2 linked regions of the Struthio camelus genome follow. The protein of the gene in region 1 purifies or fractionates together with the protein of each later gene. This does not show direct contact. Links are inferred from orthologs where the notes say so. Each region holds a gene or a part of one and is shown on either strand. Other genes may lie near its edges.

The links.
Region 2: the proteins of PHF6 (region 1) and LYAR purify together in Homo sapiens (affinity purification with mass spectrometry; 3 studies listed by BioGRID and IntAct, with this or other methods). This does not show direct contact. The link is inferred for Struthio camelus from reciprocal best matches to the Homo sapiens genes PHF6 and LYAR.

The regions. Positions count from the first base shown.
Region 1 is NC_090952.1:23,544,024-23,547,933, reverse strand, and holds the start of PHF6 (PHD finger protein 6), read left to right. Parts: upstream 1-1,258; 5' UTR 1,259-1,531; intron 1,532-1,793; exon of another isoform or gene 1,794-2,569; intron 2,570-3,910.
Region 2 is NC_090945.1:72,689,145-72,693,054, reverse strand, and holds the start of LYAR (cell growth-regulating nucleolar protein), read left to right. Parts: upstream 1-1,397; 5' UTR 1,398-1,504; exon of another isoform or gene 1,505-1,570; intron 1,571-2,088; 5' UTR 2,089-2,156; coding exon 2,157-2,278; intron 2,279-2,683; exon of another isoform or gene 2,684-2,711; coding exon of another isoform or gene 2,712-2,749; intron 2,750-3,694; coding exon 3,695-3,809; intron 3,810-3,910. UniProt on the Homo sapiens protein: Plays a role in the maintenance of the appropriate processing of 47S/45S pre-rRNA to 32S/30S pre-rRNAs and their subsequent processing to produce 18S and 28S rRNAs. Also acts at the level of transcription regulation.

The sequences.
Region 1 (3,910 bases):
TTCACTGTCAGAATCATGCTGTGTGTAACATACGCACATGTATATAGCGTGTATCTCCTAAGTAGTAGTGTATGCCTACAGCTCAGATAACTCTTACTGTTGACTTTTTTTTTTTTTTTAACTTGTATCAGTTCAAAGTGACAGCCCATTTTCTGTAAGTGTTTTGAATGATTTTACTGCTGCAGCTATCAAGAGAGAAGAGTCCTGAGAGTTCTCTGGGCTGACAGCAAAGGGATGGATGTCGCCACACAACTCTTCCTTCACCCCACCTTTCCTAAGGATCCTCTGAGAGCAGGATATGTGTAGGCATGAACCTAACTGGGAAGCTAGGATCAAAATGATGCTTAGCTCTCCCTGCTATATAGTATTGGTAAGAGGTAGGGAAAAGGCATATGATTAGAGTTATTGTGGAAGCAGCCAGTGCAGTGACAATTTTCTGTTTCAGTTGAGACTGTTTTTAATATGGAGCATCCCACGGGGATTTGTTCAGGTCGCTGAGGCTTGTCTGTACCTCAGCTTCTTTCCACGCTCGCCTCACTTACCTCCCGTTGTCCTGCTCAGTTCTCTCATTTCAGTCCTACTCTTTCTTAGGAAAGTGCTCTAGCCTAGCCAACAACCCTCCCTCCTTTCCCAAACGCAATTATTGGCCAATTACTGGTTAATGCGCTTTCCCACCTCATCCCTAAGCCTTCTGGCTGAGGCCTTGCTCTGCTGCCTCAGCACAACGCTTAGCCCAGCCAGGCCATTCTTTGGTGGCCCAAAGTCCTCCCGTAGGGGCTCTGACCAAGAAGCCGCAGCTGGCCAGTGTGGGCTCGCAGCTGGGCGGCCAGGGGAACCGTAACTCCTCCCGCTCCCTCCCCAGGAGCCGGGCCGAGCCGGCAAGCGGCCCGCGGCCGCCTCTGAGGCAGCGCCGGCTGCCGTCGAGCCCACCGCCCCATGGCGGTCTCTGAGCGCCGGAGAGCCGCGCGCATGCGCCAGCCCTCCTCAGCGCGCCGCCGCCGCTCCATGAGACTGCGCCGGCGCCTCGCCGCGCGCCTGGGGCTCTGCGCAGCCTCAGCGCCCCCCGCCCCCCGCCGTCCAACGGCTGCGGGAGAGTGCTGCGCACGCGCAGAATCGCCCCGCTCCGCCTTCTTCCGTTTCCCCGCTCCCCTCGCCTCACGGCCTCGCGGAAAAAAAAGGGAGGGGGCGCGCGTGCGCAGAAGGTCGCAGGGCCCGGCGTGCTCCCGCCGCGCCGCCTCGCGCGCCAATCGGGCGCCGCCCCGCAGCGTCGCGACGTCGCGGCCCGAGCGCGCCGTGAGTGCGTGCGTGCGTGCGTCGGCCCGTGCGTGCGTGCGTCCGCTCGTGCGTGCGTGCGTGCTTGCGCTCGGCGGCGGCGGCGGCGGCGGCGGCGGCGGCGCAGCGTCCCCTGCCCCGAATGAAAGGGAAGGTCCCGGCGGGCGAACGGCCGTGAGCGACCGGCAGTGACGGGGGGTGGGGGTGTCCCCGAGCTGCTCCTCTCCCCGCCCGCCCGCCTGCCCGTCTGCCTGCACGGGTGAGTGACTGAGTGACCGACCGAGTGCCCAGCCGCCTCTTTGCCGCGCGCCCGGGGTAGGCACGGCTCCCCGGCCCGCTCGCCCCCCGCCGCCCTCCGGCCGGGCCGCGCGCCCTGACCTCCCGCTGCCGGCGGCCGCCGCTGCTCCCCGCGCCGGGCCGGGCCGAGCCGAGCCGAGCCGCCCGCCCCCGGGAGGGTCCCGGCGCCCCGCGCTGCCTCTTCAGGGGGTCCCCGCCCCCCCCGGTGCCGTTACCCGCCTCCCCGCGGGCGGCGGGCAGCAGCTCGCTCCGCCCGCCTCGGCCCGCTCCCTCCTTCTCTGAAGGATCCGCCCCCCCTTGTCTGCGAGTCCTGTTTCCCCCAAAACATAACGAGGAAGAGGGGGGACCGCCCCCCCCCCCGGGGAGGCTCCGGTGCCACCGAGCCCCCGTGGGTAGGCCTTCCGTGGGCGGAGGGGGTTAGGCCCCGCCGGTGCTGCGGCGGGCCCCTACCCGGCTTCCTGCGAGGGAAATCGCGGCAGCCTCTCCCCAAAGCGGCGCCGTGCCTCATTGATCCCCCCCCCACCCCGGGGAGGTGAGCATCGCAGATGCCTTTATCGGATCATCTCTCGCTCCCCGTGGGAGTAGGTAAACTTTCTTGAAGATCGGTCTGTGCCGTCTGCGAGATCTTCCTAACCTCAGGCTGTTTTTGTGTAATTTTCAGTTACCTACTCTATTGTTTAGACTTTCCAGGGTTGTTTCAACCCCCACCCCCTTTGGTTCCCTTTTTCCAGGGAAGTTGTATGGAAACCCCCCCCATCCCGCTTTTATAGTGACTTTAGGATACTGAAAGTGACTCTTGGCTAAGATTTCCGTGGGACTTGTCACTTTGGCTTCTCAGCTACAGACATCTCCATGATCTCGGTTCCTTTTCCCTAGCCTCACCCCTCTACCCCAAAATAACGTCCACAAAAATAGGTGATAGACCCTAGGGAGTATAAAGCACTTGTAAGTTTCTTGAACTGGGAATCTGCAATCTCTAGTCATCTTGAAAAATATCTCTGTAAGTATTTTCTGTAGGTTTTCCTGTCAGTGTCCAAACCACTTTGTGCTTGTCTTTTTGTTTTTTTGTAAGTTTGTATATTTCTCTTGGGGGTTTTATTTGGATGTCTGAGATTTTCTTGACATGAAAATTTAAATCCTAAATTTTTTAAATATAATTCTGTAGTCATATAGGCCACACATCAAAAGAAACCTTAAGTCAGAAAGTATAGCATTTAGAACACTGTCCTTTGTTGGAAGTACAAACTTGGGCTTGACTTCTATAAACAAACTGTAGCTCTTGAAACATATTCAAGTGATAAACAGAAATTAGAATCCAGGTTACTTTCCCTTCCTTGGTGCTGAACAACGTCTCTTATGCTAAGAAGCGTCCTTCTTTGCCTGAGATTCTTGCACTTGCGCTTTTCCTTTGTACTTCTAAAATTTGTTGCCTAGTACTCAGTAAAACCAATATACAGTAAAATAAATGTAAGTACAGTAAAACATACTTCTTTTAAGGTAAAATAAAGGCGTTATTAGGAAAAGCACCATATTGAATACCTTTAGTGGACGTTAAGAAATATAAATGCAAATGAACCAAACATTTTGAGTGAAAAATCACTAATTGAGTATCTTCTTCTCTTATTTTAGGATAGAGGTAACCTCTCGTTTCTAGACCATGCACATGGAAGATGTATTTAGATGTATTAAGATACCTGTTTTGTAGCACACGTTTAATTTTGGTAGAGATAATGCCTAAGCTTTCTAGTGAGTGATTCCATAGTACCTCCGTTTCAGTGAACCAGTCTACAAAACTTTTTTCTCACGAAGCTGATATGCAAAATTTCTGCCAAGAGTGTATTTAAATACTGTTTTAAAAATCTCACTTATTGATTATCTTTTTAAACACGGAAAACAGAAATATTAACTTGTTTTTAAGTTGCACTATTTTCCTCGTTCCTGTGAAATGTAGCTTGATACTTAGCAAACTGGATTAGTTGCTCTTAGATTATTTTACTCTAGAAATGAAAACAAGATTTTGAGCGTTTGCAGTCACAGTTCTGGGTCTGTGATACAGCTGCGTACCTTCGTTCATCTTTCTCGGAAAACAGGTATTTTTAAAGGGACAGGGTAAAACATGCATTTCAGCACAAAGAAAGGTGATCCCAGTTATGTCAGAACAGTGCTTTCTGACATTTATGAGAAAACAAACAGTTTAGAGATAGGTCTATGAATAAAATGCTTCTGAAATGTTTTCTGATACTTAATTTTTGTTGCAATCTTTAGAAATGTACAAATAGTGTTAATACCTCGTAATACAGAAAAGATAAATGCAAAGAACAGTATTGGAAAGAAAACTTTT
Region 2 (3,910 bases), on another chromosome or scaffold:
GAACTCTGTAACCACAGAAAAGCAATTTAGACAACATTGACAAGAATTAAATTCTCAGGCAAAAACATTCCAGATTTACAACATCAACAGTAAAGAAACACTTGCAGAGAAAAACCTCCGTTTCTTCATATAGACACAAACAGGAAAACTTTGCAGTATCATTATTTATACCAAACTCATTGCTGTCATAGCCGCATACATTTCCCACACGGGTCTTATTCATTAGAATTGGTAATCTTATTACATAATAAGACATAAAATTCCTTTTAAAAGCCACTTTTCTGAACAAGTTAAAAAAGAAACAACTAACACCTTATTCCCACAAACACATATTTACCTTCCACACTTCCATATTTCAAAGAAAGTAGAAGACAACTCTCCCCCTCTCCACGCTTGTAAACATGAAAGGACGACTCCAACTATTTGAACAATTAGCAGCTATGTTTTTTCAGCTAACGAATGAAGCAGGAAAACTGCCTTAGGCTAAACATGAGAATAAAGTGGTTATCCCATTCTCAATTCTGACAGACACTAAAGGCTCCAAATTGTAATTCAGTCTGCACAACTGCAATTCATTTTCTCCTATTCTATTAGGACACACTATTACATTGTACTTTTCCCTACTGTACATGTAATCCTATTGTACCTTTTACCAGCTTTAAAACAAGTAAGCCACACCTGTTTGCTGGGAAACTCCTTTCTTTGTGCAAGTCTCTCATTACAAAGGATCTTACAAGTACTTAAACAACCTGTGACTTCGGACTTTCTTTTCTCAGCAATCAGGTGCTCTTCCCCCCCCAGGAAAAGGCATACGCCTCGAGCTACTCCCAGGCAAGGGTAACCCCAGCAAGAGTCGCTATTTACGCCTAAACTGCCACTTCAAGCTCCCCTCGCCCTTGCCTGGGTAAAGCTCGCACTCAGGCGTGCTGCACCAGAGGGGGAGCCGAGGACGGCTTTGCCTCAGCGCCGGGCGGTGAGCGGGGTGGAGGGCCCTGCCCGGCAGCAGCCGACCAGCCGGCGCCGCGGGAGGGCGAGGAGACCCCGCAGAGCCGGTAACGGGCTCCGAGCGGCCGCCGCCGCCGCGGGGGTTGGGGCAGAGCGCGGCCGCCGAGGCCGAGCAGCGGCAGCCGGGCCCCGCGGCGGGGCAGGAGGCGGGCTACCGCCGCCGGAGGGGGGGCCGCGGCGGGCAGCGCGGCCGAAGGGAAGGAACGGGCCAGGCTCGGCCCAGCGCTTACCGGCTGCTGCAGCCGCCTCCCTGCTCCATCCCCGCCCGGCGCCGGCGCCAACCCCGCCGCCCCCTCGGCTCGGCGCTTCCGCTGCCGCTGCCGCTGCCGCTCCTTCCGCTTCCGGGGGCGGGGGGAGGCGGGGCGCGGCGGCGCAGGCGCAGAGCGGGCGGTGCCGGGGGCGGGGCGGGGCGGGGCGGGCTGGCGGGCGCGTGGCTGGAGTGGCGGTTGGAGGCGGCGGTTGGAAGCGGCGCGGGTCGGCGCGGCGCGGCGCGGCGCGGGTGAGGGGACGGGACGGGAGAGCGGGACGAAGCGGGAGGGGCTGTGCCGGGAAGCGGAGGCGAGCGGTGAGCAGGGCGGCGGCGGCGGCGGCGGCGGCGGCGGCGGCGGTGCGGGCCGGGCCGGGCCGGGCCGGGCCGGGCCGGGCCGGGGGGCGAGACTTGGGGCCGGCTGAAATGGAGTCGTTGGGGGCGGCGCGGGATGGGCAGGGGAAGAGAGAAAGGTGGAGAAGGCGCAACTGGGGCACGTGAAGCCGAGAGATTAAATTTACGTAGGTGTCGGGAAGAATCAGAGTTTTGGTAGCCGTAGCAAATACTTTTTTTTTTTTTTTGGTAAGGTGGGCAGTAAGATTTGGCAGGCAGGGATTTATTTGACTGATCCTGGGTTTATTAGTTCCAGGTTAGACTACAGTTGCACTCAGGATAAATTAGCAGACAAAATGAGTGTTAGCTTGTGAGCTTGTATATGTGCAAAATCAAACTGCTTAGATTTTCTGCTGGCAGAGGCACTAGTATTTGTGTTTCTTCGGAGCTGTCAAATGCTTCTTTCAGGCTTTGAAACAAGTATCTCCTTTTTGTTTTTCTAGGACTGTACTTGTGTGGGGAGGAAGAAGCTTGCCCCTATCTTTGCAGAAGCTCTTAACCACTCACCAAAATGGTAGTTTTCACATGCAGTGCATGTGGAGAGTCGGTGAAGAAAGCACAAGTTGAAAAACACGTGAACATTTGCAGAAACTGTCAGTGCCTTTCTTGCATGGATTGTGGCAAGGATTTCTGGTAGGTAAAGAAGGGGAAATAACCCTGCACGCTCAGCAGTGCTTGTCACAGTATAAAATTTTCCTATGACGTGTTAGAAATAAATGTATCAAATTTTGTGTAATTCAAATTTGAATTTAAAAGTATATCCATTTATTTGTATGATTTCAAGGTTAATCATCCAAGCATGAGCAAGGATTCTGCATTTTTTCTGCACTGGCAGAAAGATGTGCAGCAAAACTTGCATTTACTTTTCCAGAACTAAAGAGTAAGCAGCTTTTGACATCTTTCCCCATGGTATTTGGACATTGGTATAAGGCTGACAAAAATCATAACGATTTATGTTGCTGCTGGGAAAACTATAAGCAATAGATAAAGCAATCAGTGTTACTGCCTGAGTATACACATTTAAGACCTTTTCTGCAGACTCGATCCTGTTTCTGGACATTGCTAGATGCTACGTCATCCTTGCTTAAATATTATGTCACACAGGTAAATACTAAAATTTAAATCTTTTTGTGGTTTGGGAAATTGGAAATTTCCAAAACGTTGTATTGAGAAGCAGCTTGAACAGATGAGTGACTCCAGACCCTTTGAAGTTAGTAGCTGCTGTTTTTACCCATTGTAATTTGTGACCAAAGTAAGACCAAGACAATGTAAGCAGAGTTGCAGTTTCTTCTTTTACAGTTAAAAGTGACAGTACCTTCAGCTTCTGATCATCAACAACCATTATCTTTTCTGCTACTGCAGAGAGTGAGATTGGCTGTAGCTTCCAACTTTCTAAACATGGTTGTAATTTCTCTGAACTCAGAAGAAAGCAGTGCTACTATCTGCTTTCAAAATATGAATGTGTGAATTAATTTATGTAAGAAAATGAGATTATCCTGTGAAAGAATTATTATATTTCTCAGTAATTCACTAACAAAAGATTAGGATCTGTGTTGTGAATTCCTTTTTTGGAGGCACGTGTTGATCAGAAAAAGATCACTTAACTGTACAGTAGTACTGTATTACTGTATCTGTGTCTAGGAATTAGGCTTTCACAAGACTTATTAAATCTATTTTTCTAATTTTAAAATGTGTCTACTAATGTGAGCAGCAAAACACAAGCATCTGCTAATAACTTTTTCAAAGGTAAGCAAATATTACATGTACTAATGTGCAAAAGTTACAGACTGACAAATAAAAGCATCAGTATACTGAAGACTCAGATCTCATTTTGCCTATCAGAAATTTCCACTGAAGGGTGTAACACAATGAAATGTAAGCAGTCTTGTAAGCGTGTACTTTAAGCATGCTGAACTTTACTTATATAAGTGTGTTGACAGTATTGAGGCTTAAATATACATGATGACACCTATTACTTCGCCTGTTACTTCAGTTTCCTGATTACTGAAATACTTTAGTGAACTACAGTTAAAAATCTCTTATGTTCAGGGGTGACGATTATAAGGACCATGTGAAGTGCATAAGCGAAGACCAGAAATATGGTGGTAAAGATTTTGAAGCCAAAACTAACAAAGGAGATGCTAAACAACAGGAGTGGATTCAGGTAACATTGTAGATACAGGTATAATAAATAACTGTTAATTCTGCTTATTAAAGACCTAAGAGAGGCTATACTACATCAGACCCAAGATCCATTTTTCCAAA